2 linked regions of the Stegostoma tigrinum genome follow. The protein of the gene in region 2 purifies or fractionates together with the protein of the main gene of each other region. This does not show direct contact. Links are inferred from orthologs where the notes say so. Each region holds a gene or a part of one and is shown on either strand. Other genes may lie near its edges. The genes, in order: FAST kinase domain-containing protein 5, mitochondrial; mitogen-activated protein kinase 4-like.

The links.
Region 1: the proteins of mitogen-activated protein kinase 4-like (region 2) and FAST kinase domain-containing protein 5, mitochondrial purify together in Homo sapiens (affinity purification with mass spectrometry; 3 studies listed by BioGRID and IntAct, with this or other methods). This does not show direct contact. The link is inferred for Stegostoma tigrinum from reciprocal best matches to the Homo sapiens genes MAPK4 and FASTKD5.

The regions. Positions count from the first base shown.
Region 1 is NC_081354.1:169,862,838-169,879,559, reverse strand, and holds the start of FAST kinase domain-containing protein 5, mitochondrial, read right to left. Parts: upstream 6,923-16,722; 5' UTR 6,806-6,922; intron 1-6,805. UniProt on the Homo sapiens protein: Plays an important role in the processing of non-canonical mitochondrial mRNA precursors.
Region 2 is NC_081354.1:158,280,492-158,296,971, reverse strand, and holds the start of mitogen-activated protein kinase 4-like, read left to right. Parts: upstream 1-8,739; 5' UTR 8,740-9,371; exon of another isoform or gene 9,372-9,819; intron 9,820-16,480. UniProt on the Homo sapiens protein: Atypical MAPK protein. Phosphorylates microtubule-associated protein 2 (MAP2) and MAPKAPK5.

The sequences.
Region 1 (16,722 bases), about 12 Mb from region 2:
ACAGGCATGTGACACAGGACAAAATCCCAAGATTACAACCCTGAAGGTCCTGCTTTTCAATTTACTACCTAATTCTCCAAATACCCTTTGCAGGATCTTGTCACTCCTCCTGCCTATGCTGTTCATACTAATGTGTACCACATCCTCTGGCTGCTCATCCTCCCTTTTGAAAATGACCCACACCCACTCAGAGACAGAGACATTCTTGTTCCTGGTATCAGAGAAGCAAAAAAATCATCCTGAAGTCTCTTTTCCAGCCACAGAAATGCTTATCTGTGCCCCTGACTATAGGGTCCTCTATTACTACTGCTCTTCTGCACTTTGGCACCCACTTTGCAGTACCAGAGAGAACGACGGTGCCCCTATTCTGGCTGCTGCTGTGGCCATGCCCCCCAACATTATCCGAAACAGTTTACTTTTTAGAGACGGGAATAGTCACACGAGACTCCTGCACTGTCTCTCTGCCCCTCTTATGGTCACCCATCTAACTGCCTGAACCTTGAGTGTGACCATATCTTTAAAATTCCTGTCTATAATGCATTCTGCCTCCTGCACGCTCCTACTGTGTTCAACTGCTGCTCCAACCAATACATACAGTTTGACAGGACCTGAAATTGGACGCACGTCCTGCACTTGCAGTCATCAGACGTCCACAAGCATCCACTCCTTCCACCACCGGTGCTCAGTAACAGTAGTGTGCATTATCTACAAGATGCACTGCAGAAATTCATCATCGATCCATAGGCTGCTCCTTCCAAATTCTCAACCACTTCCTTCTAGGAGAAGGGCAGCAGATACATAGATACACTGTCACCTGCAATTTCTTCTCCAAGCCACTCAGCATCCTGACTTGGAAATACATCTTGTCCTTAACTGTTGAGTCAAAATCCTGGAATTCCCTCCCTAAGGTCATTGTGGGTCTATCTACAGAATACAGACTGCAGCAGTTCAAGAAGGCAGCTCACCAGCACCTTCCAAAAGGCAAATAAGGACAGACAATAAATGCTGGCCAGCCAGCAATGCCATGTCCCATAAGTGAATTTAAAATTGCCATGGATCTGGGGATTTATGTAGTCAGGCCATGAACGGCAGATTTCCCTTCCTAAAGGGCTGTTTTTATGACAATCAACAGTGGTTAAATGGTTACCATTCGGCTAAGTTTTGATTTCAATTTTTATTGAAATCAGAATCACCATCTGCTATGGTGGTAATCAAACCCAGGTCATCAAGAATATTTGGCTGGGGTTCAGGGTTGCTGGACCAGCGACGTGACCATTTCTACCACCCTGCTGGATGACTGGCAAAACTTAATAACGAGTTTTGAGAAGATTTGTAGCTCAGGTTCAGGTTCTGGATGTGAGTTTGCTCGCTGAGCTGGAAGGTTAGTTTCCAGACGTTTCGTCACCATTCTAGGTAACATCATCAGTGAGCCTCCGAAGCAGCGCTGGTGTTATGTCCCGCTTTCTGTTTATCTGGTTAGGTTTCCTTGGGTTGGTGATGTCATTTCCTGCATTGGTGATGTCATTTCCTGTTCTTTTTCTCAGGGGTAGATTGGCTCTACCATCCCCTGAGAAAAAAGAACAGGAAATGACATCACCAACCCAGATAAATAGAAAGCGGGACATAGCACCAGCGCTCCGTCGGAGGCTCACTGATGATGTTACCTAGAATGGTGACGAAACGTCTGAAAACTAACCTTCCAGCTCAGCGAGCAAACTCACATCCAAAACATCATAATTTTGAAAAGTATTGCAATGCATCTGGATGCTGGGGCAATTGTAATTTTCAAGACACACAGTGACGGATTTTGTTCAACAAGGGTATTATGGCAGGTTCTTGCTTGACATTCACATTGTTTTTCTGAAAATAGGTTGATCTCAGAATTTATCATTTGGCTTGGTAAATACAAATAGGGAGAAAATCCTTCGATCATCAGGTAAACTTTAAAAGTTCTGAACCTTCTTTTCAGATTTGAATCTTCATTTAGTATCACTGGAGAGTCAATGGAAAAAAGTGTATATTTGACCATTCTCAGAGCAGTGACAAATTTCCAATTTCAAAGAATCAACCTGTCCACCAAAGTACCTCTGAACTTCAAGCATGGTTCAGTCTCAACTAAATGCTAGTACCAATATCCTGGGTGGGAGATTTGCTAGAGATGTTCAGGAGGGTTTAAAACTGGTGTGGCAGGGGTGTGGGAGCTGGAACAACAGGCTAGTAAGTGCAGGGACTCCGGACAAAGAAGAGACTGAGATATGTATCACAGAGTAAGAGCAGGAAGTTGTGGGGCTCAGAGGGACTGGAGGTCTGGAGTGCATTTACTTCAAGGCAAAACGTATGACAGGTAATACGGATGAACTAAGAGCATGGATTACTGCATGGAATTGTGATGTCATCGCCATTTCAGAGAAACAGTTAAAGCAGGGGCAGGACTGGCAGCTTAACATTCCAGGATATTGCTGTTTTAGATGGGACTGAAAGGGAAACAGAAGGGGTGGGGGAGTTGCATTGCTGATTAGGGATCACATCATAGCTGCGTTGAGGGAGGACACATCGGAGGGATTTTACAGTGAGGCATTATGGGTGGAGCCAGGAATAGGAAGGGTAAACTCACAATGTTGGGAGTTTTTTTTAATAAGAGAGTAGATATGTAGTTAGAAACTAGAAAGGAGACAAACAGGGTTAAAAAGACAAGTCTAAAGCCTTGATGCCTTAACGCACACAGAATTCACCAAAAAGTTGAGGAATAAGCATTACGAATACATACAAGCAGTTATGATATAGGTGCAACTACAGAGCCATGGCTCCAGGACACGAAGGATGGGAAATGAAAATTGAAGGGTATTCAAATTGAGGAGAAGACAGTCTGAAGGTAAAGGTGGTGAGGCGGCATTTTAAGTAAACAATAAATCACTATCATATAATCATGGATGACTTTAATTTATGTATTGATTGATATTGTGGACAAAGATTTCCTGGAGTATATACATGAATGTATTGGTCTGAAAATCATTGAGGAACCAGAGAACATGTTATTCTAGACTGGGTACTGTAAAACAAATAAATTACATTATGCAGGGTCCCTTGGGGAAGAACAACCATCATAAGGTAGAATTCTTCATTAAGATGGCAAGTAAAGTTATCAAATCAGAAACTAGCATCCTTTTATGCAGATTCAGGAACGATTACTGTAGCAGATGTGCATTAGTAAAGATGGATTGAGGAAACTTACTGACAAGGTTGATGGTACACAGGCAATGGTTCATATTTGAAGGTGTGTATGAAATATAACAAATATTCATTTCTGTCTGGCACAAAAATAACAGAAGAAAGGTGGCTCAACCACAGCTTACTTATTATTTTATTAGATCTGAGTTGAGACATAAAATTTGCAAAAATACAAAAGCAAGCCTAAGGATTGGGAGCATTTCAGAATTCAGTGAAAGGTTCAATCATGATGGGGGGAAAAAGATGAAGTTTGAAAGTAAAACTGCAGGGAACATGGAAACTGACCCTAGGCGTTTCTATAAATATGAAGTAAAAAACTAATATAGCTCCGTTACAGTCAGAAGCCAAGGATATCATAACGGGGAAACAAAGAAATGGTGGAATTGAAGAAATACAGTGCTTGGGTTCTATCATCACAGAAGAGGACACAAATAACCTCCAAGAAATATTAGGGACAAAGGATCCAGTGAGGAGGAGGAGGAATTGAAGGAAATCAGTACTAGGGAGAAGATGGTGTTTGGAAATTAATGGGGTTAAAGACTGACAAATCATTGAAGGCATCATAATCAACATCCCAAAATACTGAAGGAAGTGACCCAGGAAATACTAGATGTATTAGAGGTGATCTTCCAAAATTCTATAAACTCTGGATCAGTTCCTACAGTTTGGAAGATGGCAAATTTAACTCCATTATTTAAAAAAGGAGGGGGGACAAAAAGAATAAAAGATCAGTTAGTCTAATGTTAGTCTAAATGAAAACAGAACATTTAAAAAGACTAACGGGATTGACCAAAGTCAGCAAGATTTATGAAGGGCAAATCTTTCTTAACAAATCCACCAGAGCTTTTGAGAATGTAACTAGTAGAATAGATAAGGGAGAAATCAGTGGATGTGGTGTATTTGAATTTTCATATTGCTTTGGATAAGGCCGTTCAAATCAAGTTAGTGAGCAAAATTAAAGAACGTGGAAAAAAATCAGAAATTCTTGGAAAAACCCAGATCTAACCGATACGTGGAAAGAAAGCAGAAAATGATGTTTCGGGTCCAATGAAGTTTTGGTCCAGTTTTGAAGAAGAGTCTCTCCACAGATATTGTCAGATCTGCTTGGTTTTTCCAGCAATTTCTGATTTTGTTTCTGTTTTCCAGCATCTACATTCTTTGTTTCTTTCAAAAAAGAACATGGGATGGGGTTAATACATTAACAGACAGGAAACAGAGTGGGAATAAATGGTTCTATTCTCAAGTGGCAAGGAGTGGGATACTACAAGAATCAGTGCTTAGACCCCAGCTATTCACAATATGTATAAATGGCCTGGATGACAGAATCAAATGCAATATTTTCAAGTTTGTTGACGGCACTAAACTGGGAGGATTGAAGCTTGTGAGGAAGATGCAAGGAATGTTCAAGATGACATGGAAAAATTGGGTGGGTGGCTCAGAGTTAGCACTGCTGCCTCACAGAGCCAGGGACCCAGGTTAGATTCCACCTTCCGCCTGTTCTGTGCTGTACTGTTCTATGTTCTATGTTCTATGTTCTATTTACATAGAACATTACAGCACAGAAAAGGCCCTTCAGCCCTCGATGTTGTGCCGACGTGTCATACCGATCTCAAGCCCATCTAACCTACACTATTCCATGTACGTCCATATGCTTATCCAATGACGACTTAAATGTACCTAAAGTTGGCGAATCTACTACCGTTGCAGGCAAAGCGTTCCATTCCCTTACTACTCTGAGTAAAGAAACTACCTCTGACATCTGTCCTATATCTTTCACCCCTCAATTTAAAGCTATGCCCCCTCATGTTCACCGTCACCATCCTAGGAAAAAGGATCTCCCTATCCATCCTATCTAACCCTCTGATTATTTTATATGTTTCAATTAAGTCACCTCTCAACCTTCTTCTCTCTAATGAAAACAGCCTCAAGTCCCTCAGCCTTTCCTCGTAAGACCTTCCCTCCATACCAGGCAACATCCTAGTAAATCTCCTCTGCACCCTTTCCAAAGCTTCCACATCCTTCTTATAATGCGGTGACCAGAACTGTACACAATACTCCAAGTGCGGCTGCACCAGAGTTTTGTACAGCTTCACCATAACCTCTTGGTTCCGGAACTCGATCCCTCTATTAATAAAAGCTAAAACACTGTATGCCTTCTTAACAGCCCTGTCAACCTGGGTGGCAACTTTCAAGTATCTGTGTACACGGACACCGAGATCTCTCTGCTCATCTACACTACTAAGAATCTTACCATTAGCCGAGTACTTCGCCTTCCGGTTACTCCTACCGAGGTGCATCACCTCACACTTGTCTGCATTAAACTCCATTTGCCACCTCTCAGCCCAGCTCTGCAGCTTATCTATGTCTCTCTGCAACCTACAGCATCCTTCGTCACTATCCACAACTCCACCGACCTTAGTGTCGTCTGCAAATTTACTAACACCCTTCTACACCCTCATCCAGGTCATTTATAAAAATGACAAACAGCAGTGGACCCAACACCAACAAGTACCTTGCGGTACACCAATTGCGGTACAGTTTGCACATTCTCCCTGTGTCTGTGGGGGTTTCCTGCCAGTGCTCCAGTTTCTTCCGACAGACCAAAGATGTGCACGTTAGGTGGACTGGCCATGCTAAATTGCCTATAGCATACAGGAATGTGCATGCTAAGTGGATCAGCCATGGGAAATGCAGGAGTTCAGGACTAGGGCAGTGGTAGCTTTGCATGTGATGCTCTTTGGAGGGTTGGTTTGGATTCAATGGGCTGAATGGCCAGCTTCCATACTGTAAGGTTTCCATGATCTGCAAACATAAGGCAGATATAGCACAGTGGCTAAATTTGAAGTTGTATGCTCATATGTGTAAAACAGAAACTAAGCGTATTATTAAATGATACTACATTGGGAAGTGCGAGAATGTAGAGAGATCTGGGCACCCTTGTACATCAGTCAATGAAAGCAGAACGGCAGGTGCAGCAAGCAGTTAGGAAGGCAAGATAACAAAGTGTGAAGCTGGATGAACACAGCAGGCCAGGCAGCATCTCAGGAGCACAAAAGCTGATATTTCGGGCCTAGACCCTTCATCAGAGAGGGGGATGGGGAGAGGATTCTGAAATAAATAGGGAAAGGGGGGAGGCGGACCGAAGATAGATAGAGGAGAAGATAGGTGGAGAGGAGAGTATGGGTGGGGAGGTAGTGAGGGGACAGGTCAGTCCAGGGAGGACGGACAGGTCAAGGAGGTGGGATGAGGTTAGTAGGTAGGACAAGAGAGTTGCAGTGGGACAGATTCCCTGAGCTGAGAAGCCTCTTCCAGGGATGACTAACCTGAAGAGGTTACCCTCCTCCCTTGGGACCAATCTCAGGGAATCTCTCTCCCACTGCAACTCTCTTGTCATAAGAACGTGGCTGTCAATTTCCATCAACAGCTTTTCAACAGAAACTTGGAATTATTCACAAATTCTGTCTTGATCCATATCACCCACATACCGTATAACCGCACGTTTCTGGGTGAACTGGATATCTGACCAGCTAGTCACTCATACACTATTCAAATATGCTGTGTGTCATACAGTTCTTACCTTCCCCTAAATATCCAGCCAGGTGATTAGGAACAGAAAGGCTGGCTCCACCTCCTTCAAGGCGGTGGCTTAATCAGGAGAGTTTGCTGCCAATACCCCTGGCGTTGTGGACGAGGCAGGACTAGGGATGATCATGAGTTGAAAAAATATGGGTGAAAGCAAAACAAAATGGTTAAATATTTCAGGGAGAGAATTCTGTGCGGCTCTGGAGTAATTAACTGGAGACGTCGGCCAGCACACCTATTAATGACTGCACTAGGCCTCCCTCCATACTCAGAGCAGACTACACCCGCTGCGCAAATGCATGGCTATCCAATTAGCCTGCGCCTCCCGCACATGCGCACAACTGGGCCAATCAGACAGCGCTTTCCGCACATGCGCGCGGACGCCTCAATCCGACAATACCTTCTACACATGCGCACGGCTGCCACAGTGGGACATGCGCAGAGCTCCTATCTCCGTTTTCGGTGCCGTTTTCTGCTGAAGAGATCCTGATGCGGGCACCAAGTGATCGGGATCCACCGGCCGGATCCATACTCGGTTAATACAGCCTTCTCGGCCCTCATCCTTGAGAGGCTCTGACCGCTCCTCCTGTCTTGAGCTCCCGTTGAAGGGCCCCACTCTATGTCCAGGGCTGGATGTGGCAAATGGAAGAGCCGCAAGGTCAAAGATAACAAAACGTGAGGCTGGATGAACACAGCAGGCCCAGCAGCGTCTCAGGAGCACAAAAGCTGACGTTTCGGGCCTAGACCCTTCATCAGAGAGGGGGATGGGGAGAGGGAACTGGAATAAATAGGGAGAGAGGGGGAGGCGGACCGAAGATGGAGAGTAAAGAAGATAGGTGGAGAGAGTGTAGGTGGGGAGGTAGGGAGGGGATAGGTCAGTCCAGGGAAGACGGACAGGTCAAGGAGGTGGGATGAGGTTAGTAGGTAGCTGGGAGTGCGGCTTGGGGTGGGAGGAAGGGATGGGTGAGAGGAAGAACCGGTTGGGGAGGCAGAGACAGGTTGGACTGGTTTTGGGATGCAGTGGGTGGGGGGGAAGAGCTGGGCTGGTTGTGTGGTGCAGTGGGGGGAGGGGATGAACTGGGCTGGTTTTGGGATGCGGTGGGGGAAGGGGAGATTTTGAAGCTGGTGAAGTCCACATTGATATCAGAGATAATGGGAACTGCAGATGCTGGAGATTCCAAGATAATAAAATGTGAGGCTGGATGAACACAGCAGGCCAAGCAGCATCTCAGGAGCACAAAAGCTGACGTTTCGGGCCTAGACCCTTCATCAGAGAGGGGGATGGGGGGAGGGAACTGGAATAAATAGGGAGAGAGGGGGAGGCGGACCGAAGATGGAGAGTAAAGAAGATAGGTGGAGAGGGTGTAGGTGGGGAGGTAGGGAGGGGATAGGTCAGTCCAGGGAAGACGGACAGGTCAAGGAGGTGGGATGAGGTTAGTAGGTAGCTGGGGGTGCGGCTTGGGGTGGGAGGAAGGGATGGGTGAGAGGAAGAACCGGTTAGGGAGGCAGAGACAGGTTGGACTGGTTTTGGGATGCAGTGGGTGGGGGGGGGGAAGAGCTGGGCTGGTTGTGTGGTGCAGTGGGGGGAGGGGATGCACTGGGCTTGTTTAGGGATGCAGTAGGGGAAGGGGAGATTTTGAAACTGGTGAAGTCCACATTGATACCATATGGCTGCAGGGTTCCCAGGCGGAATATGAGTTGCTGTTCCTGCAACCTTCGGGTGGCATCATTGTGGCAGTGCAGGAACTGCCACAATGATGCCACCCGAAGGTTGCAGGAACAGCAACTCATATCAATGTGGATAATAAAATGTGAGGCTGGATGAACACAGCAGGCCAAGCAGCATCTCAGGAGCACAAAAGCTGACGTTTCGGGCCTAGACCCTTCATCAGAGAGGGGGATGGGGGGAGGGAACTGGAATAAATAGGGAGAGAGGGGGAGGCGGACCGAAGATGGAGAGTAAAGAAGATAGGTGGAGAGGGTGTAGGTGGGGAGGTAGGGAGGGGATAGGTCAGTCCAGGGAAGACGGACAGGTCAAGGAGGTGGGATGAGGTTAGTAGGTAGCTGGGGGTGCGGCTTGGGGTGGGAGGAAGGGATGGGTGAGAGGAAGAACCGGTTAGGGAGGCAGAGACAGGTTGGACTGGTTTTGGGATGCAGTGGGTGGGGGGGGAAGAGCTGGGCTGGTTGTGTGGTGCAGTGGGCCTCCTGCAGTGCCACAATGATGCCACCCGAAGGTTGCAGGAACAGCAACTCATATTCTGCTTGGGAACCCTGCAGCCTGATGGTGTCAATGTGGACTTCACCAGTTTCAAAATCTCCCCTTCCCCTACTGCATCCCTAAACCAGCCCAATTCGTCCCCTCCCCCCACTGCACCACACAACCAGCCCAGCTCTTCCCCCCCACCCACTGCATCCCAAAACCAGTCCAACCTGTCTCTGCCTCCCTAACCGGTTCTTCCTCTCACCCATCCCTTCCTCCCACCCCAAGCCGCACCCCCAGCTACCTACTAACCTCATCCCACCTCCTTGACCTGTCCGTCTTCCCTGGACTGACCTATTCCCTCCCTACCTCCCCACCTACACCCTCTCCACCTATCTTCTTTACTCTCCATCTTCGGTCCGCCTCCCCCTCTCTCCCTATTTATTCCAGTTCCCTCTCCCCATCCCCCTCTCTGATGAAGGGTCTAGGCCCGAAACGTCAGCTTTTGTGCTCCTGAGATGCTGCTTGGCCTGCTGTGTTCATCCAGCCTCACATTTTATTATCCACATTGATATCATTGGGCTGCAGGGTTCCCAAGTGGAATGTGAGTTGCTGTTTCTGCAACCCTCAGATGGCATCATTGTGGCACTGCAGGAGGCCCATGATGGACATGTCATCTAAAGAATAGGAGGGGGAGTGGAAATGGTTTGCGACTGGGAGGTGCAGTTGTTTATTGCGAACCGAGCGGAGGTGTTCTGCAAAGGGGTCCCCAAGCCTCCGCTTGGTTTCCCCAATATAGAGGAAGCCACAGCGGATACAGTATACCACATTGGCAGATGTGCAGGTAAACATGTGCTTAATATGGAAAGTCATCTTGGGGCCTGGGATGGGGGTGAGAGAGGAGGTGTGGGGGCAAGTGTAGCACTTCCTGCGGTTGCAGGGGAAGGTGCCAGGTGTGGTGGGGTTGGAGGGGAGTGTGGAGCGGACAAGGGACTCATGGAGAGAGTGGTCTCTCCGGAAGGAGGACGGGTGGGGATGGAAAAATGTCTTGGGTGGTGGGGTCGGATTGTAGATGGCGGAAGTGTCAGAGGATGACGCGTTGTACAGGAGGTTGGTGGGGTGGTATGTGAGGACGAGGGGGTATTCTTTTAGGGCGGTTGTGGCGGGGGTGGGGTGTGAGGGAGGTGTTGCGGGAAATGCGGGAGACACTGTCAAGGGCATTCTGGACCACTGCGGGGGGAAAGTTGCAGTCCTTGAAGAACGTGGACATCTGGGATGTACGGGAGTGGAATGCCTCATTCTGGGAGCAGATGCGGCGGAGGCGAAGGAATTGGGAATAGGGTATGGAATTTTTGCAGGGGACGGGGTGGGAGGAGGTGTATTCTAGGTAGCTGTGGGAGTCGGGCTTGAAGTGGACATCCGTTTCCATCTTAAGATAACAAAGTGTGAAGCTGGATGAACACAGCAGGCCAAGCAGCATCTCAGGAGCACAAAAGCAGACGTTTCGGGCCTAGACCCTTCATCAGTTTCCATCTGGTTGCCTGAGATGGAGACTGAGAGGTCCAGGAAGGTGAGGGATGTGTTGGAGATGGCCCAGGTGAACTTGAGGTTGGGGTGGAAGGTGTTGAAGTGGATGAACTGTTCGAGCTCCTCTTGGGAGCAAGAGGCGGCGCCGATACAGTCATCAACGTAACGGAGGAAGAGATGGGGTTTGGGGCCAATGTAGGTGCGGCAGAGGGACTGTTCCACGTAACCTACACAGAGGCAGGCATAGCTTGGGCCCATGCGCGTTCCCATGGCCACCCCTTTGTCTGTAGGAAGTGGGAGGAATTGAAAGAGAAGTTGTTGAGTGTTCGACTAGGCGGATGAGGGTGTCGGTGGAGGAGGACTGGTCTGGCCTGCTGGACAGGAAGAAGCGGAAGGCCTTAAGGCCATCTGCATGCGGAATACAGGTGCATAGGGACTGGACGTCCATGGTGAAAATGAGGTGTTGGGGATAGGGGAATTGGAAGTTTTGGAGGAGGTGGAGGGTGTGGGTAGTGTCATGGATATAGGTAGGGAGTTCCTGGACCAAGGGGGAGAAAATGGAGTCCAGATAGGTGGAGACGACTTCAGTGGAGCAGGAGCAGGCGGAGACAATGGGTCGACCAGGGCAGGTGGGTTTGTGGATTTTGGGAAGGAGATAGAAACGGGTGGTGGGTGTTGGGGAACAATGAGGTTGGAGGCTTTGGGTGGGAGGTCACCTGAGGTGATGAGATCATGGATGTGCAGTGGGAGCGAGATTCCCTGAGGTTGGTCCGGAGGGAGGAGGGTAACTTCTTCAGGTTAGGCATCCCTGGAAGAGGCTTTGCAGTTCCCATTATCTCAGGTCAAAGAGAGCGCCTACAAAATCGCTGAGCGATCCAAATACCAATTTCAAGGATGGGAAAGGGAAAAGGAGATGAGGAAAAATGTCTTTTGTTCTTTCAACAATAACTGTATGTTTTGCTTTTTAACATAAATATAATGTTCAGTCTATTTATTACAGCAAATAGAGATGTACAGCAAGGAAACAGACCTTTTGGTCCAACTCGTCGATGTGGACCAGATATCCTAAATTAATCTAGTCCTACTTGCCTGCATTTGGCCTATATTCCTCTAAACTCTTCCTATTCATGTGGCCATCCAGATACCTTTTAAATTTTGTAATTGTACCAGTCTCCACCCCTTCCTCTGGCAGCTCATTGAATACATGCACCACCTTCTGCTTGAAAACGTTGCCCCGTTGGTCCCTTTTAAATCTTTCCCCTTTCACCTTAAACCTATGTCCTCTAGTTTTGGACTCTGCCATCTCGAGAAAAGATCTTGGCTATTCACCTTATCCATGCCCATCATGATTTTATAAACCTCGAAAAGGTCACCTCTCAGCCTCCAACACTACAGGTAAAATAGCCCTAGTCTACTCAGCCACTCTCTGTAGCTCAAACGCTCCACCCCTGGTAAAATTCTTGCAGAACTTTTCAGAACCCTGTCAAGTTTCACAGCGTCCTTCCTGTAGCAGGGAAACCAGAATTTCAAGCAGAATTCCAAAAGTGTCCTAACCCATGTCCTGTACAGCTCCAACATGACGTCCTTTAATCAATGCACTGATCAATAAAAGCAAGCCTACCAAACACCTTCTTCACGATACTATCTACCTGAGATTCTCCTTTCAAAGAACTATGAACCCGCACTTCAAGGTCTCTTTGTTCAGCAACACTCCCCAGGACCTTCACAATAAATATATAAGTCCTGCCCTGATTTATCTTACCAAAATGCAGCACCTCACATTTATCTGAGTTATACTCCCATCTGCCACTCCTCAGCCTATTGGCCCATCTGATTAAGCTCCTGTCGTACTCTGAGGGAATCTTCTTCGCTGTCCACAACACTGCCAATTTTGGTGACATCTGCGAACTTACTAACCATACCTCCAGTGCTCACACCCAAATCATTTATATAAATAATGAAGAGGAGTGGGCCGAGCACTGATTCTTGTGGACATCGCTGGTCGCAGGCCTTCAATCTGAAAAACAACCCTCCTTCACCACCCTCTGTCATCTACCTTTGAGCTAGTTCTTATCCAAATGGCTAGTTCTCCCTTTATTCCATGTGATCTAACCAGCTTTGCATGCAGATCAATGTTCCTCTTAGATAATTTAACACAAGATAAGAACTAGGAGCAGGAGTAGGCCATCTGGCCCCTCGAGTCTGCCCCGCCATTTAATAAGATCGTGGCTGATCTTTTTGAGACTCGGCTCCACTTACCCGCCCACTCACCATCAGCCTTAATTCCTTTACTGTTTAAAAATTTATCTGGCCTTGCCTTAAAAACATCAGCGAGGTAGCTTCAACCGCTTCACTGGGCAGGCAATTCCACAGATTCACAACCCTTTGGGTGAAGAAGTTCCTCCTGACCTCAGTCCTACATCTGCTTCCCTTTATTTTGAGGCGATGCTCTCTAGTCCTAGTTTTACCTGCTCGTGGAAACAACCTCCCTGCCTCCACCTTATCTATTCCCTTCATAATCTTATACATTTCTATAAGATCTCCCCTCATTCTTCTGAGTTCCAATGAGTATAATCCCAGTCTATTGCGGGTTTCTTCCCCAGCCACCAACCCAGGCATGGAATTCCAAAACTGTCTGATTGAAAAAGCTTTTCGTAAGGTTCCCTCTAATCCTTCTACCAATCACCATACATCTTCCATGTGGTCCTTACAATAGGAGTCTCAAGCTCAGAGAGTTGCTTGTGGATTTTTACACCTAAGGTATTCTCAACCTAAGAAATGGCCATACAGAAATGGTGCAGGGTCAGAAAGGCAGAGGAATATTGTTCAGTATTAAATTCAGCAATCTGCAGTCTGATTCGCACCTTGATGGGAGATGATAATCTCATCAATAAACTTTCAACAGCGCTAAGTTATTACAGTTTTTAAGCAAGTTCAAAGAAAAAGAGAGAGCTGAGTGGGCAAAATGAATGGAAGGTTTTGATTGGAATCAAGCCAGCAGAATGTAAATGATAAGGAATTGAAGAGACATCAGCAGATTCAGTGAATGTACAAAATGGAGGCAGATAGTGTATAATGTAGGGAAGTGTGTGATTGTTTACTTTGGACGAAAGACTAGAAAAGCAGAACTCTTTTAAAGCACAAAATTTCTAAATGTTGATGTCCAAAGGAACTTGTGTGTACTTGTACAGTGACTGCAGAGAGTCAGCATGTAGTTACAACAAGCAATTAGGAAGGCAAATCCCAAGGGAAGTCTTGCCAAAACTGTACGGTACTACACAAAGTGACACCACACCTGTGCATTGTGAAGGGTCTAGGCCCGAAACGTCAGCTTTTGTGCTGCTGAGATGCTGCTTGGCCTGCTGTGTTCATCCAGCTCCACACTTTGTTATCTGTGTGTTGTGTGCAGTTTTGAACTCAAGATCTAAGGATGACAGGGTTGAGCAATGAGGAAATGTTGAGTATATTAGGCCTATTGAGGTTGGTTGGCTCACCGAACTGGTCTGTTATTCGGCAGACGTTTTGTTCCTGTGCTGGGTAGCATCCTCAGTGCAACTTCTGATGAAGCGTCAGCGTGTTCTCCCACCTGGTTTTTAAACTCTGGTGTCCGTTGCGATGGACTGCCTCACTTCCGGGTTTCCTCCATAGTGGAATGTATGTGGGGTCGAGTTCAATGTGTTTATTAATAGCCTGCTTCGTGGAGCCTCCAACCTCAACACCCACAACCTGAGCTACAGATCTACTCCAAAACCTTAGATATTAGCCCTATATTCTCAAATTTACAAAGGTGGGGTTCTTGCCCTGACTCTGGAATCTAGAATATGGGGATGCAGTTTTAGGCTAAGGAACTAATCATTTGATACTGAGATGAGGAAAAAATCTTCACTGAAAGGGTTGTCAATCTTAGGAATTCTTTATCAGTGAATTGTGAATTCATCATTGAATATGTTCAAAGCGGTTCCACTTTAAAAGCTTATCATTGGCTGTCAATACTTTTGAGTTGCCCTGAGGTCATGTAAGGCACCATGGATACATGAGTACAGTCTCATTTAAATTATTGTGCAGCATGGATAGCATAGTCATATCATAGCACTACCAGCTAGCACTGATTCTGAGAAGAACCCAGAGCTAGATAAGCCATGAGGCTATTGAAGCTGTAGCTGCAATGAAAATAGGGGCACCAGGCAGAACTATGAAATAAAGGACAGCGTCAGTCACAAACAAGTGATAATTACCGAAAAGAGATTATCAGGACAGCTAGAAATGTGGCAACAGGGACTTTAGTGATTTCAAAGAGCTGACGCAGTGACAGTAATAAAGACTGGACTTGCAGGAGAAGCTCAGCAGTTTTGACTGTGGAGAGAAAAGAGAGTTAACGTTTCGGATCCAGAGACCCTTCAGAAGTGACAGTAATATTGATTTAAATGGAAGTAAATATCAGCCGAGGTGTACAATAGATGACAGGTCTGATATTGCTCAGTTGAAGCTCTCATCCATAGTAAGACTACGAATAACCAGAATTACAGTCAATATTTTGTAGTCCAAGATACATACCTAATTTCCTTTAATGCTTCACAACATTATGGAATGAAACTTTGAAAAAAAATTAACTTGTTCAGATATTATGATGTGCCAATGGAGCAGGTGGGACTTGAACCCAGACCCTATGATTCAGGGTTAGGGACACTACCGCTGCACCAGAGCCCTCTGGGAAGCAGGCTTGGGAGCTTTAACGGACAGAATCTTCTGATCAGGCCACAGCACTTCATTGACACCACCTCAAATGCAATACGGATGGGCTGTAAATGCTGGCCTTATCAGTGATGCTCGTATCCCACGAATGAATAAAGAAAAACTGTCTATATAATTTAGGCCTTATTTCTACTAACTCTAACACTTCTGACTACCTTGCTATTTCTTAATCTAGTACTACACGTCTCTGAAAATCCTTTACACACCTTGTTTCTCCTTTCTCCTACACTGTGGTTCTCATCCCCCTGAGAAATTGATCTGATTGATTGAACTAAGTAGTTTAAATAGTTGCCAAAAGTACAAGTAAAACTATACTGGTCCTAGCTCTTTTGAGATGCTATTTTCTGACTTATAAAAGCCCCAAACTGCCCCCAGTTTGATACCAGTGTTCTAGGAGTCTTATACCCACCGTCCTGCACCATCTTTCCTTTGTAAAGGAGTATCAACTATTAATCATCTTGTAAAGTTCTGCATGTGAGAAGAAGATTCTGATCTCTAAGTAATTTCAGAGACTTGAATCTGAAGCCCCACCTGATGCTCCAATGCAGTATTAAAGTTGTGCTATAATGTCCATTTTGTGGGTGAGATTTTAAACTGGAGGCTGTGTGGTTTTTTGGGTGGATGTAAAAGATCTCCCAATTTGTATCACTGGAAAAAGAGTGTTTAGTAACTGCAACACTTGTTTGTTGGAGCTTGCTGTGTCATGGTTTCTGCTGCATTTCTTCCATTACAATAGTGGCTGCATTTCAAAAGCACATAAATGGCTGAAAAATGCTCTGGAGCAATGTAAAAAATACTATATGAATACAGGTTCTAATGGACATTGGTAAGTAGTTGTTAAGAAGCATTACATCCCCAAACCCAAATATCTCTACTTTCAAGTGGAAGGAAGCTAATGCCATGTGGACACTTCTGACCAGATTCAGACTGCAACAATCATTATTGTTTGCTCAGTTTTATCCCTTTGGGTCCCCACCTTAATGAATTTCAGGCATGATGTGATGTAGAACTCATCTTCCCTCACCTTCGCCTCCAAGCCCATTTCTTTGGACAAGAGTCCTTTCCCCATCCCACAGACCCCTTTGCCCACCTTCAACACTGTTCTTCCACCCGGACTCCTCCTTCCAGCTATTTACCTGCACTCGACCTGTTCACAGGAACGATCAACATGACATTGGTCGCTTCAATTTCTCTACCCCCTTCACCCATTCCAACCTATCTCCCTGTGAACTGACTGCCATCCAAGCTCTCAGATCCAACCCTACCTTTGTAATTAAGCCTTTTGATAAGGGTGATGATGTGTTGTTTGGCAGACTGACCTCTACGTTGCAGAGGCTGAGGTCCTGCTCTGAGGTACCTCATCCTATCCTCCCTGGGCCATGAGCCCAGTATGGAACATCAGGCCATTGTGTCCACTACAATCACTAGCTTCA
Region 2 (16,480 bases):
TGTAGGTTGGATCAAGTGAGAAAATCAGTTTCCTTCCTAAAAGATATTAGTGAAGCCAATGGGTTTTTACAATTGACAACAGTCATCATTAGACTTCAACTTTCAGAATTTTATTAAATTCAAATCCAACTTGACATTTAAACTTGCGTCTCCAAAATGTTTCTTGGGCCTTTGTATTATTAGTCCAGCAACAAAACTATTCAGGCATTAACTCTCCTATTAATCCCTTTAGGGGAGGTGATGATAGAATAATAATATCACCGGTCTAGTAATCCAGCACCTCTAATATTATGGGGCAAAGGTGCAAATCCTAGCATTGCAAATAGTGTAACTTGAAATCAATAAAGATCTGGAATGAAAAGATTAGACTAACCACCCCACTGTTGGTTGTTGTAAAAACCTATCTAGTTTACCATTTCCCTTTAGGAAAGGAAATCAGTCATCCTTACCCGGTCTGTCCTACATGAGACTCCACACACATGACAATGACCGTTCACTGCCTACCCTTGGACTCTAACTGTTGGACCATGTTGCCACAGCCCATGAACAAATTAAGAAAGGAAACAACAAAATGTAATACGTAAATTCTTCTTGGTAAATATATAACTCATCTGGCATGACAAATTATGAGGCACTTAAATTTAATTTGCTCTTTTAAATTTCCCAGAGTTTAAAGGTATGATATTTGGATTTCTGCTGGTGTTAGCAGCCTGACATACTTTGCTTGTGACTGTCTTCTTGTTTCTTTTATTTATTCCTCAGAATGTGCGTTGTGGCAAGAAAAGTGTCATTTCCCATCTCTAAGTGTCTTTTAGTAGGTGATAGTGAGCCAACAGCATGCACACTGCTCTCATCTGTGAACCTAGAAAAATGAGGGTTGATTCTTTAATAACAGAAAGCAAAGTTCATTGAACTCAAAACATTAATTCTGTTTCTATCTCCACAGATGCTGCCAGACCTGTTGAGTCTCTCCAGCAATTTTTGATTTTATTTAAACTAATATAATCTGTTATCTTCATTGGTAAGCAATAAATGACTTCTTACTACTTACGTTAATGCTTCTGCAGCCAACTGGGGAAGGATGGCCCATAGTGAGTAATGCAATAAGAATTGACTGCCGCATATTTATTCAAAGGAGATCCTAGAAGAACCAGTTACAAACATCACCTACAACAACTATACACAGAGAAATTAGAAATAACTAACAGGACTTTTTGGTTTATTAAGATTTGATTTCATTTTCAGCAAGACAGCAAGCATTGTTAACATTTTGCTTACCTCTTTAATAATGCACCACATGGAATTTGTGTATATTACCATCAATATTGCTTTTATATTGACTAAAGCTCAGTGCATTGCACACTGCTGTAAGTATAGCTTATCCAAGTCAACAATGCAAGCTGTGGTTTTCTTAAAATCTTGTCTCAAGAATCTTGCAGTGATAATTGCTACTTCAATTCCAACCGTAGGAAAATGCTATGACTGCTGACTTTGAATCAGGAGGTATTGTTGCACAGTGTAGCATGGTGAACATGGAAGAAAGAAGCAATGATTGACGTGAAGACTAAATCTATACTTATTTATTATGCCTGTACCAATGTTACTGAAGTGGATATGGTCAAGAGCTTCAATTTCCTTGGAGTAAATATCACCAACAACCTATCCTGGTCATTCACGTCAATGCTACAGTAAAGAAAGAACACCGATGCCTCTACTTCCTCAGAAGGTTAAGGGCATTCAGCATGTTCACAATGACTCTGACCAATTTCTATTAATGCACCATAGAAAGCATCCTATCCATAAGACTGTGAGAAATTATAAAAAGTTGTAAACACAGCCCAGTCTACCACAAAAACCAGCCTTTCTCCCATTGACTCTGTCTACACTTTCCACTGCCTCGGGAAAGCAGCCGACAAAATCAAAGACCCTTCCCACCCCAGCTATACTCTCTTCCACCGTCTTCCATTGAGCAGAACATACAAAAGTTTGAAAACATGTACCAACAGATATAAGAACAGCTTTTCCCCCGCTGTTGTCAGACTTATGGACAAACATCTCATATGTTAAAGTTGATCTTTCTCTGCATCCTTCTCTCTAGCTGTAACACTATGTTCTGCAATCTGTTCTATTACCCTGATACATAGAAACCATTGAAACATAGAAACCTACAGCACAGGAACAGGCCCTTCGGCCCTCCAAGTCTGTGCTGATCAAGATCCTCTGTCTAACCTGTCATCTATTTTCTAACGGTCTGTGTCCATTTGCTCCCTGTCCATCCATGTACCTGTCCAAATATATCTTAAATGACGCTAACGTGTCTGTGTCTACCACCTCTGCTGGCAACGCGTTCCAGGCACCCACCACCCTCTGTGTAAAGAACTTTCCACGCATATCTCCCTTAAACTTTACTCCTCTCACTTTGAACTCATGACCCCTAGTAATTGAGTTCCCCGCTCTGGGAAAAAGCTTTTTGCTATCCACCCTGTCTATACCCCTCAGGATTTTGTAGACCTCAATCAGGTCCCCCCCTCAATCTCGATCCTTCTAATGAAAATAATCCTAAGCTACTCAACCTCTCTTCATAGTTAGCACCCTCCATACCAGGCAACATCCTGGTGAACCTCCTCTGCACCCTCTCCAAAGCATCCACATCCTTTTGGTAATATGGCGACCAGAACTGCACACAATACTCCAAATGTGGCCGAAACAAAGTCCTATACAACTACAACATGCCCTGTCAACTCTTGTACTCAATACCCTGCCCAATGAAGGAAAGCAAGCCATATGCCTTTTTGACCACTTCATTGACCTGCGTTGTCATCTTCAGCGAACAATGGACCTGAACACCCAGATCTCTCTGTTCATCAATTTTCCCTAGGACTTTTCTATTTACTGTATAGTTCGCCCTTGAATTTGATCTTCCAAAATGCATCACCTCGCATTTGCCCGGATTGAACTCCATCTGCCATTTATCTGCCCAACTCTCCAGTCTATCTATATTCTGCTGTAATCTCTGACAGTCCCCTTCACTATCAGCTACTCCACCAATCTTAGTGTCATCAGCAAACTTGCTGATCAGACCACTTACACCTTCCTCCAGATCATTTACATATATCACAAACAACAGTGGTTCCAGCACAGATCCCCGTGGAACACCACTGGTCACAGGTCTCCAATTTGAGAAACTCCCTTCTATACTATCCTCTGTCTCCTGTTGCCCAGCCAGTTTTTTTATCCATCTAGCTAGCATTTATGTAAGGTATGATTTGTCTGGATAACACACAAAGCAATACTTTTCACTATATCTGAGTACATCTGACAATAATAAATCAAGTCAAATCAAAAAACTAGGCAGATAGTTGATAAAAAGTAGAATGTAAGGATATGGGAGCAGAGCAGGCACATGTATTAGGACTACAGCTTCTGTCAAGGATAAGAAGCAGCTGGGCAATGCTGGACCTACTGATTTTAGGATAACCAAGTCTGCATGTAGCCTAACCAGCTGTCCTTGAAAAGGTATTTGAATATGTCACCAAAGATATACAATTTTGGCAGTGGGACAGAACCGAACTTGTGCTTTACTATGGGGCTGCTTGGTGTCATGCAGCAGAATCATAGAACACAGAACAGCTCAGCACAGTACAGACCCTTTGGCCCATGATGTTGTACCAAGCGTTTACCCTAATCTTATGGTCTATCTAACCTCCACCCCTACCTTATACTATCATCCATATGCCTATCTAATAGCCGCTTAAATGTCCCAAATGAGGCTGACTCCACTAACTGTTCCGGCAAGGCATTCCACGTCCCTACCATTCCCTGAGTAAAGAATCTACCTCTGATATCTCCCCTATATCTACCTTCACTCACTTTAAAACTATGCCCCCTCATAAAAGCTTCCTTCACCTTAGGGAAAAGTCTCTGACTGTCTACTCTATCTATACGTCTGATCATTTTGTACACCTCTGTCAAGTCATCTCTCATCCTTCATCGTTCTATAGAGAAAATCCCTAGTGCTCTCAACCTTTCCTTGTAAGACCTTCCCTCCATTCCAGGCAACATGCTGGTAAATCTCCTCTGCACCTTTTCCAATGCTTCCACATCTTTCCTGTAATGAGGCGACCAGAACTGGACACAACACTCCAGATGTGGCTGAACCAGGCTTTTGTATAGCTGGAGCATAACATCATGGCTCTTGAACTCAATCCCTCTAATAATGAAAGCTAACACACCGTATGCCTTCTTAACAACTCTATCCACCTGGGTGACAGCTTTCAGGGAACTGTGGACATGAACCCCAAGATCCCTCTGCTCCTCCACACTGCCAAGAATCTTTCCATTGGCCCTGTATTCTGCTTTCAATTTTTTCCATCCAAAATGAATCACTTCACACTTTCCAGGGTTAAACCCCTTCTGCCACTTCTCAGCCCAGCTCTGCATCCTATCAATGTCCCTTTGAAACCTAGAACTGCCCTCTGCACTGTTCACAACCTGACCCACCTCCGTACTGCCCGTGAACTTACTAATCCACTCTTCCACTCCTTCATGCAAATAATTTACAAAAATCACAAATAGAAGAGGACCCAGTACAGATCCTTGAGGTACGCCACTCGTAACTGAGCATCATGTTGAATATTTTCCGTCCACTACCACCCTTTGTCTTCTAAGGGTCAGCCAATTCTGAATCCAATCTACCACATTTCCCCCGATCCCATGGCTCCTTACCTTCTGCATGAGCCTAAAATGGGGAGCTTTATCAAAAGCCTTACTTAAATCCATGTATACCACATTTACTGCTCTACTTTCATCCACATGTTTGGTCACCTCTTCAAAGAATTCAACGAGGTTTGTGAGACATGATCTACCCCTCTCAAATCCTTGCTGACTATCACGAATCAAACTGTGCCTTTAAAGTGATCATAAATCCTATCTCTCAGAGCCGTTTCCAATAATTTTCCCACCACTGATATAAGAGTTACGGGCCTGTAATTTCCAGGGTTATCCTTATTCCCTTTTTTGGACAAAGGAATGATGTTTGCCTCTCTCCAGTCTTCCAGCACTATACCCATGGACAGTGAGGACGAAAAGATCATCGCTAAAGGCCCTGCAATTTCTTCTGTCCCTTCCCGTAGAATCCTTGGATAAGTTCCATCAGGCCCAGGGGACTTATCTATCTTCAAGTTCCTCAAAATTCCTAGTACATCTTCCTTATTAACAGTGACCTCCTCTAGCCTACCAGCCTGTTTCACACTGTCCTCCTCTACAACTAGGTCCCTCTCAGTTGTGAATGCCGATGAGAACTATTCATTAAGGACCTCTCCTATCACTTTTGGCTTTGTGCACAAATTCCCTTTACAATCCTTGGTCAGCCCTACCCTTTCTCTGGTCATTCTCTTACTCCTCATGCACATGTAAAAAGTATTGGAGTTTTCTTTGATCCTGTCTGCCAAGGTTTTCTCATTCCCCCTTATAGGTCTCCTAAGGCCCTTCTCCAACTCCATCCTGGATAACTTGTATCCCTCTACAGCATTTTCTGTTCCTTGTTTCCTCAACCTTACATAAGCATCCTTCTTCCTCTTAACCAGATGTTCGACCTCCCTTGAGAACCAAGGCTCCCTCACTCGACCGCATCTTCCCTCCTTGCTAGGGACAAACATATCGAGCATATGCAGTATGCATTCCTTCAACAATCTCCACATTTCAATAGTGCTTTTCAATAGTGGTCTTCCCTGATAATCAAAAACGTAATGATTTTTTAAAAGTGCTTGTGGCCCAAATTTGATCAGACCTTGTCTATGCGTAGAGGAAATGGCCTCCTGTTATTATTGCTAGACTATGAATCCTGAGACCCAGGTAATTGTCTGAGGACATGGTTTCAAATCTGGCCTGGCAGATGGTGGAATTTGAATCAATACAAATCTGAAATTAAGAGTCTAATGATGACAATGGAACTGTTGTTGATTGCCAGATAACCCCATCTGCTTCACTAGTGCTGTTGAGTGAAGTTACTGCTGTCTTTACCTGTGACCACAGATCCATGCCTAGTGGCTGGCTCCTGACTGCCTTCTGGACAAAATCTACCAGCAATGCTCTCATCCCATGAATGAATTAAAAGAAGGTATAGGAACCCAAGCCTCCTGGCTCAGGAGTAAGGACACTATCACTATACCACAAGACCCTTCTTCACCAATTTATCATGTCAAAAAAACTAGCGGAGACACATGCAAGGTAAAATTAGACTTCATCAGAAGTCGGAAGTTGATTACCTATTATACACCTCACAACTTTCCATTCCACTGAAGTTCAAATGAAGGAAGACTATAGTTTTATAACCTCAAAATCACATAAATACTAGCCACCAAATATTCATTTCAACTGCATGCTAATCATATGTAAGAAGAAAATGTCAGTCTATGTCTCTTTTTCAGGCATTACAGATATACATACTGAACTACATGAACTCTTGAACTAGGCCAGATGTTCCAAAATGGCCTTATTGCTTTGCAATGTAAATTAGGGGCTTGAATTTCCAAAGGGCATCTTTAATCATGTGTCATTACTTTACCAGAAAACCCAGCAAAGTGGTGTAAACTGCCTATGTTTTTCCGAAATCTCTTTCTGAAAGTAGTATTTTGACATTGTAGCTAAATGGACTTTTCCTCTGTTTTTAATTTAAAATATTTTAAAAACATTTTCCAGGATGTCATTACATATCACTGGAGCAGGTGGGACTTGGACCTAGGCCTCCTGACTCAGAGGCGAGGACACTACCACTGTGTCATAACGACCCCACCCTCCGCCCCAATAACCTGCTGTTTTTACTTTTTAATATTTGACTACAGCCAGAACTAGTGGGTAATGGGTTAATTTTGTATAAATTAAGGCTTTTCAAAGCGAAGGTCTTAGTCGTGTTGGCACTGATGTCGTTTGCTTGTGCAAGTTATGAAGCTGTGAACAATGAGAAACCCCCAAGTGGGAATTAACTGGAATGAGCACATTCACTGACAAGCATTTTAGGTCATCAGTAGAGATTATTTTCATTCAATCTTAACAAACAGGTATTCTGGTTTAATTAAATTATGACAAGTATATTGTCTATGCATTCTTCTAAGGATAGGTTCAAATCTGGATGCTTCTAACATGGTCAGCTTAATTGTATGGCAAAACTGGACTCATTATCTCAAGGCATGTGCAGTGTCTTTCAGGCTGAAGTATATGGATTATGGATTTGACAGTTATTGGAAAAAGACAGTCAATATTTTTTAAGTCTGAGTAAGGTTAGCTTCAAAGAATCAAGCTGTAGTAAATGGTCTTCTGTCATAGGATCCATGCCTAAAAAGAAAGTAAGTTACATCTTTGTTGTTTTCATACACTGAGAAGTCTAGGGAATTGATGTTCATATTGTGAAAACTGTTTGTTCATGTCCTTTTTATAGATAACCAGTTATTCAAAGTCTGAAACCTCAGTTTCCATACCATACTTATTGAGTCAGCCCTCCGTAGGAGAATGTAAGCAATGATACATCTGTTCCTCACATTCAAATATGATGAGACCATGAAAGAACAAAAATTAAAGTATACTTCAGCCATGTTTGGGTGGAGGAAATGTTCTCCCTGATGGTTCTTTGGTCACGCCATTTCCTTACTAGATAACTGGATAGAAAAAGAGACATTCCAGACCTAAATCCATTTGCAGGAGCCAACGAGTGAATCTGGGGTAACAGGTAAAAGTGACAGATGTTTCGGCGGGATAAAAGTCAGAATAAATACCATTATAGCATTATTATCTCGACATTAAAAACAAGTAATATCTCTCAGTTTTTTTCATTTATTCACTGATGTGATTTTCTGATTTTTTCTCATTACACTTTGTGGAAAATGCATTACTAGTGTCCATGCTTAGGTGAATTAATTGAAGGCAGATCTAGGATGAATTCTGAGCCCTTGTAGGAAGGAAATTGTTGTGATCTTCTAGGACAACCTGTGGAAAGATATGGCCAGATGGATCACTTTTTAAAAATATGTTTTTTCTGGTCTGGACGGTTTCGCCTACTGATTGAATAACCTCATTGAACCGTGACAAGAGACTTCTTTTGTTAGTTTACTTCCCCACACTGAACTGCATAGGGTCCATTTAGCACCTTGCCACAAGCCTGCAATTATCCATTGCCAGCAGTTGTTGATCAGAACCATATGAAATATGGCGCTGGAAGAGTTCTTACCAGGTACTTCAGCTGGTACCTCTCTAGGTCCATCTGCCTCAAATACTTGATAAGGAGGGGGCACAAATTTGAAACAATTAGGGAAAGAATTATAGCATACTTTAGAGGGAGAATGTGCAGAGGGTGGTTTGAGTGTAAAATTTTGTGTCAAAATTATTGAAGCAGAGAGGACAAACTTTTAAAATATAGAATTGGCTACGAGCCTTAACAAGAATGCGAGGGAGGTATGGAGTGGGTGAACTGGGTTTTGCTTTACCGCTCAATTTTTGTTGCATTTCCCCCCGTGGCTCAGTGCGGCAAAACATATATTGTGCATCAGCAGAGAAAGTAACTCTCCATAGTTGGTTGCAGACCTGCTGAGATTTTCCAGCGCTTTCTGCTTTTATTTCAGGTCTCCAGCATCTGCAGTACTTTACGTTTATTTGCAGCTATGTCTGCTCCTGCCTGTCGATGGATGTCATGCTATAGACCTTTGCACATCAGGTGGTTCCTGTCTTCTTTTTCTCAGGAGCAAGAAATGCCGGCGACAAATGCAGCCTGCTCGCTCCTGGGTGAACCACCAGGTAGCTGCAGTGTGATTGACAGCGCCTGGTGACGTCGTGCCGTGGCGCTGTTTCGGGCCGGCTTCATTTTTCTCCCCTGCAGAGAAAGGGGACTGAGACCGGGCAGATCCCCGCTCGGAAACAAACCCAGTCTCGGTCTCTAGCTCGGCAGCGAGCCGCCTCCTGCCCTGGCAAATGCCAAATCCACAGCAGATCCAGCGCCGCCACAGCGACGGCGTTGTTTTAATGGTAAGTTTCATTTCCTGTTACACGCTGGAGAATGAATTACCAACATCTCGCCGTGTTCTTTCTTCAAAGACATGTTCCCGGAGCCTTTTCAGTTGACAAGGAGCGACGCTGTGTGTTGGTTGCAGAATATGCTGTGTAATGCAATTTTGCTAAAAAAATACAGATGCATTAGAAGCAGGAAAGGAAACGACAGGATCGCTCCTGCTTAATGGGAGGGATGGAGTGGAACGTGTCTTTGCTCCACACTTAAGTCTTTGTCTTCGCTTAATTACTGAACATGTTCCGGTTGGTACCTGTGTCTGTACGGAATTGCTCGGCTTTTGAGTGTATCACGCAAACTGGAAGATAGATCGATGCAGGTGCCGTAAGTTCCGCAGTCTTTGTGTATGCGTTTGTATGTGGGTCTTTTGCCTGGGCAGTTAGTACATTTCGTCAACAAATCGGCTGCATTTGCTGGCAAGTTTCGCAGGTACGGTTATAGCTGAGGGGACATGGTTACTGCCATTTCATAATTGGTCATCTACTCTGGTGCTGATCTCAAACTGCTGTTAACCTGCAACACCTAGCCATCTCCGTGTAACGTACAGGATGGTACGTTATGAACTAACTTTGTATGTGTGAACAAATAGATCTAGAACAATGGAGCATGACAACACAATATATTCTTCTGTACGGGAAGATTGCCTGTTTTTTAAGGGGGAGGAGACTGAAGGTTGGAGACAGTGGAGCTGGAAGCAGGTGCTTAATGAAGGAATTTACTGAAGGACATTAGGACATAACTGAGGTGGAGAGAGCTTGCCCTGAAAGGTAATAGTTACGTTCACTGAACGTTAGGTGATTCCCTGACGCTGGGATGCTGACTAGCTCATCATACCCACAACAGTGAGACATCAAATAGGAAATTGAGAAGAAACTTCCTTTCCTAGAGAATGTGAAATTTGCATTTGTGGACACTTTCAAGAATTATGCGCATGACGGAGAAGCGAATAAGACCGCTCTGCTGCTGGGGTTGGACGAGGAATGATGTAAAGTGGATCGAGTGGAGCATAAATACTGATATAGACTGGTTTGGCAAAATGACGTGTTTCTGTGCTGCGTACTCAGTGTAATTCAATGCAGGTTCTTGTCAGTGAGATATACAGTAGAGAGTGGCGCTGGATGTTGAAAAGCAGGACTGACAGCCTCTGCGGAGAGAGAAATAGCCTTAACACAGTGACTACCGAATCAAAAACCATAAGAATGAACCTCGAATGGGTCTGATGAAAGCTCATCGATCTGATGAAAACTCATCGATCTGAAACATTAACTCCATATCTTTCCAATGACCCGCTGCGTCTTGCTTTCTTTTGGTGAAGCGAAGAACAAATAAAGTTCAGAGGGCCACTGGACCCGAAACGTTAACGCTGATTTTTTTCTTCACAGATGCTGCCAGACCTGTTGAGCTTTTCCAGCAACTTTTGTTCCTGGTATACAGCATCCGCAGTTCTTTCGGTTTTTAACAAATAAAGTTAGTTTCTTTATCACTGTGCGTTGAGCACGAACAGGTATGGTTGGAAGATCGAGATGATTTGATGTACAGGGAGCACCAGTTTTTGCACTTACCTTTTCTAGCCTTGCAAAGCAGGTGTTATAGTACTGTATTCTGAAAGTTACTTCCTGTTAACTAAAGTGGCTTTTAAGAATACCATGACTTCTCATTAGTTTTTGCTTTGTAATTGTTCTCATGTTCCTGTTATTCTTTGTATAAAAATTAGCCAACATGTGATAGAGTACCAGTCTTACTATGTAACATAGGTAACTGAAATCAACTTAATTTAGCTGCATTTGCCACATCATTGACAAATATCTTTATCTTCTCGTTGTTCTCTGGTATAGATGGGTGTTACTAGCTGGGTCAGAATTTGTTGACTGCCCCCAAGTGCCCAGGAGAAGGTGATGGTGAGCTGCCTTCCTGAACTGCTGTAGACCCATAATACTGTTAGGGAAGGAATTCCAGAATTGTAACCTAGTGACTGTGAGAAACGGCAGTATATTTCCAAACGAGGATTGGTGGTGAGTGGCTTGGAAGGAAACTTGCAGGTGGTGGTTTTGCCATGTATCTGCTGCCCTTGTCCTTCTAGATAGAAGTGGTTGTGAGTTTGGAAGATGCTGTCGAAGAATATTTGGTGAAGTTCTGCAGTGCATCTTGTAGATAGCACACACTGCTGCTACTGAGCTTCGGTGGTGGAGGGAGTGGATGCTTGTGCATATGGTGCCAATCAAGTGGGCCGCTTTGTCCTGGATTGTATTGAGCTCATTGAGTGAAACTGCACTAATCCAGGCAAGTGGGGAGTGTTGATCACATTCCTGATTTGTGCCCTGTAGATGGTGGACAGGCTTTGTGGAGTCAGGAGCTGAGTTACGCGCTACAGTATTTCTAGTTTCTGACTTGCTGTTGTAGCCACTGTAGTTGTATGGTGACCTCAGCTGAGTTTCTGGTCAATGGTAACCCCCCCGGATGTTGATAGTGGGGGATTCAGTGATGGTTACCCCATCTTAAAGTCACACATCTGAACTCTAGATTGAATTGTTCGTGTAATTTGTTGTGGACCTGTTGAGAACAGTATTTTGATATTTTGTTGGAGGGGTCGGAAAGTTCTTGAAGTTGAGGCTAAATGAGCTCCTCACCTTGAGAAATAATCATTGACTGCAGGTTGATGCAGTGGCATTTTGTGGTTTGCCTGAGGAATTTGAGTTCAAATCCACAATTCAGAACTTCTCATTTGTCGTTAATTGAAATTAAATTGTGAATTTCACAATTGCTGGTTAGGACATGGAAAAATATCACCCTGCTGTGGCGGGAGTGCTCAATTGATTAGGGCTAAAACATATTATCAAGGCTTCACATAGGGAGCTTTAGTCTACAGCTAACTGTGTAGCAGCTGAACTGAATCTTAATTGATTCAGACAGTGGATGTCTGAAACAGGAAGCGTTCAACTTCCATGAATGAACCTAAGTATGATGAACACAAAATATAAAAGGTTTAATGACTGTGACCCAATTATTTTGAGTTTATCTCATGATAAACTGTTATTTACCAGAAAGTGACTGATGATCAGTGTTTTTCAACAAAGTAAATGAGTTGAACTATTCATAAGAGTTAAAATCCATAAGTGAGCCTTGAATAGTGTGTTTACCATCACAACACAATGATTGAATTACATCCTCAAATTCACTGAGACACACTGTCATTGTAATTGAATGCCATACCAGTGTGGGGTGATCCTTTTCCTGACATGGCGTTGAAAATAAAAGGCATGTCACGTGATGTGGAACAAAGAAAATTGCTGATTATCTGATTTAGGATCAGCAGTAATATGGGATTTGTGAATTACAACCCAAAGACTTGTCAGATTATTTTTAAAACTGGATTCGATGAGGATGGTGGCAGTGTTATTCTTCTGTTCTGCTGATTGTTTTGATCAATGACAAATTTTGTAGTCCTTCACTTAAAGCATTATTCAGTACTCCAACAGGGGCTAGAAATATTCATTATAGATAGGTGTCTGGTAGTCTGGTGTTTGAATGGAATGTTGTAATACAGTTAAGTTTACCTCAGGATTGTCTTGCTTTCTGATTTATTTTCCCTATTTATGGGAATCGACCCTACCTCTCCTTTCCACATTCACGAAATGCACCGAGATCAGCACCTCAAAATGTAATTTCTTTCTTTGTCAGTCTTCAGTTTCATGGAATGATGCTTCGTAACTTGATAGTTCCCTCTGTGTTAAGCATTACCTCCTGTAGCTTAGGAGCCTTATGCCGGTGTGGCAGTCTTTGCCACATTTAGCAGATGAATACATGGGCTGAGAAGGTGCAGGATTGCTAACCTATGTTTTCTCTTGGTTCAGTTCTCATCCAATTGTGCTTTTCTGTTTCGCCTCACAACTTCCAATCCCCATTCAGGCAGTCAGCATGCAGAGGTCATTGCCAACAATGTCTGTCTCCCAGTCGTGTTTATCCCCCCATTTTCATATTGTTATGATCCCAGCTAACTGTAATACTGGGCAAATCAGATGCCAGAATGAAACCTGGCAAGAAGTTGGTTTGAAGTATGTCTACTTCAACACCAGGAGCATGCGGAATAAGGTGGGTGAACTTGCAGCATGGGTTAGTACGTGGGACTTCGATGCTGTGGACATTTCGGAGACATGGATAGAGCAGGGACAGGAATGGTTGTTTCAGGTTCCGGGATTTAGATGTTTCAATAAGAACAGAGAAGATGGTAAAAGGGGCGGAGGTGTGGCATTGTTGGTCAAGGACAGTATTACAGTTGCAGAAAGGATATTTGGGGACTCATCAACTGAGGTAGTATGGGCTAAGGTTAGAAACAGGAAAGGAGAGGCCACCCTGTTGGGAGTTTTCTATAGGCCTCCGAATAGTTCCAGATATGTAGAAGAAAGGATAGCAAAGATGATTCTTGATAGGAGTGAGAGAGACAGGGTAGTTGTCATGGGGGACTTCAACTTTCCAAATATTGACTGGGAGCACTATAGTTCGAGTACTATAGATGGGTCAGTTTTTGTCCAGTGTGTGCAGGAGGGCTTCCTGACACAGTATGTAGACAGGCCAACAAGGGGTGAAGCCACATTAGATTTGGTACTGGGTAATGAGCCTGGCCAGGTGAGCACTTTGGTGATAGCAATCACAGTTCTGTTATGTTTACTTTACTGATGGAAAGGGATAGGTGTATACCACTGGGCAAGAGTTATAGCTGGGGGAAAGGCAATTACGATGAGATTAGGCAAGATTTAGGGAGCATAGGATGGGGAAGGAAACTGCAGGGGAAGGAAACTGCAGGGGATGGGCACATTAGAAATGTGGAGCTTATTCAAGGAAAAGCTCCTGTGTGCCCTAGAAAAGTATGTACCTGTCAGGCAGGGAGAAAGCTGTAGAGTGCGGGAGCCATGGTTTACGAAGGAAGTGGAATCTCTGGTCAAGAGGAAGAAGAAGGCTTATGTTAGGAAGAGATGTGAAGGCTCAGTTAGGGTGCTTGAGGATTACAAGGTAGCCAGGAAAGACCTAAAGAGAGAGCTTAGAAGAGCCAGGAGGAGACATGAGAAGTTGTTGGCGGATAGGACCAGGGTAAACCCAAAGGTTTTCTATAGGTATTTAAGGAATAAAAGAATGACGAAAGTAAGATTAGGCCCAATCAAGGATAGTCGTGGGAAGTTGTGTGTGGAGTCAGAGGAGATAGGGGAAGCACTAAGTGAATATTTTTCGACAGTATTCACTCTAGAAAACGACAATGTTGTCGAGGAGAATACTGAGATACAGGCTACGAGACGAGGTGGGATTGAGATTCACAAGGAAGAGGTATTAGAAATCCTACAGAGTGTGAAGATAGATAAGTCCCCTGGGCCGGATGGGATTTATCCTAGGATCCTCTGAGAAGCCAGGGAGGAGATTGCCGAGCCTTTGGCATTGATCTTTAACTCGTCATTGTCTATAGGAATAGTGCCAGATGACTGGAGGATAGCAAATGTGGTTCCCCTGTTCAAGAAGGGGAGTAGAGACAACTCTGCTAATTATAGACCAGTGAGCCTTACTTCACTTGTTGGTAAACTGTTGGAAAAGGTTATAAGAGATAGGATTTGTAATAATCTAGAAAAGAATAAATTGATTAGGGATAGTCAGCACAGTTTTGTGAAGAGTAGGTCGTGCCTCACAAACCTCATTGAGTTCTTTGAGAAGGTGACCAAACAGGTAGATGAGAGTAAACCAGTTGATGTGGTATACATGGATTTTAGCAAGGCATTCGATAAGGTTCCCCACAGTAGGCTATTGTACAAAATGCGGAGGAATGGGATTGTGGGAGATATAGCAGTTTGGATCAGAAATTGGCTTTCTGAAAGAAGACAGAGGGTGGTGGTTGATGGGAAATGTTCATCCTGGAGAACAGTTACTAGTGGTGTACCACAAGGGTCGGTGTTGGGTCCACTGCTGTTTGTCATTTTTATAAATGACCTGGATGAGGGGGTAGAAGGATAGGTTAGTAAATTTGCAGACGACACTAAGGTCGGTGCAGTTGTGGATAGTGATGAAGGATGCTGTAGGTTGCAGAGAGACATAGATAAACTGCAAAGCTGGGCTGAGAAGTGGCAAATGGAGTTTAATGTGGAAAAGTGTGAGGTGATGCACTTTGGTAGGAGTAACCGGAATGCAAAGTACTGGGCTAATGGTAAGATTCTTAGTAGTGTAGATGAGCAGAGAGATCTCGGTGTCCATGTACACAGATCCTTGCAAGTTGCCACCCAGGTTGACAGGGCTGTTAAGAAGGCATACAGTGTTTTAGCTTTTATTAATAGAGGGATTGAGTTCCAGAACCAAGAGGTTATGCTGCAGCTGTACAAAACTCTGGTGCGGCCGCACTTGGAGTATTGCGTACAGTTCTGGTCACCGCATTATAAGAAGGATGTGGAAGCTTTGGAAAGGGTGCAGAGGAGATTTACTAGAATGTTGCCTGGTATGGAGGGAAGGTCTTACGAGGAAAGGCTGAGGGACTTGAGGCTGTTTTCATGAGAGAGAAGAAGGTTGAGAGGTGACTTAATTGAGACATATAAAATAATCAGAGGGTTAGATAGGGTGGATAGGGAGAGCCTTTTTTCTAGGATGGTGACGGCGAGCACGAGGAGTCATAGCTTTAAATTGAGGGGTGAAGGATATAGGACAGATGTCAAAGGTAGTTTCTTTACTGAGAGAGTAGTAAGGGAATGGAACGCTTTGCCTGCAATGGTAGTAGATTCGCCAACTTTAAGTACATTTAAGTCATCATTGGACAAGCATATGGACGTACATGGAATAGTGTGGGTTAGATGGGCTTCAGATTGGTATGACAGGTTGGCACAACATCGAGGGCTGAAGGGCCTGTACTGTGCTGTAATGTTCTATGTTCAATGTTCTATGAATAGTGTATTAGGTTTACATTTGGTTACAACAGTGGTGAATCACCGAACATATTCATACCAGGCTGTCAATGTTCTTTTCATACAAGGACACAAGTTTATGCCACAAAAATGAAAAAAAAGCCACATATATATGCATACAAAATAAGATATTATTGGAAAAACTCAGGAGGTCTAGCAGCAGGAGGCCGATGCTTGCCTCTCTGGGCCTTTGGACAATTCTGTCTTTGCTACCATGCTTTTGCATCCATCATCGACACTCTTGTTTCCACTCTTCATCCGCCCATCCCAAATGACTAGCGTTACCACATCATCTCAACTGCTTTTACACTAAGTCACACACCTCTCCAGCCCTTCCCGTCTTCACTTTGGAGCTTATTAATACTTATGCCTTGCATTCTTCTGTCATGTACTTTGCTTGCAAGGACACCCATCTATCTCATACATCTACTCAGAAAGCACTGTATAATTCTTAGTTAACTTTTTTACACTCCCTTACCTTGTTGGAGGGCGTGGCTTGCAT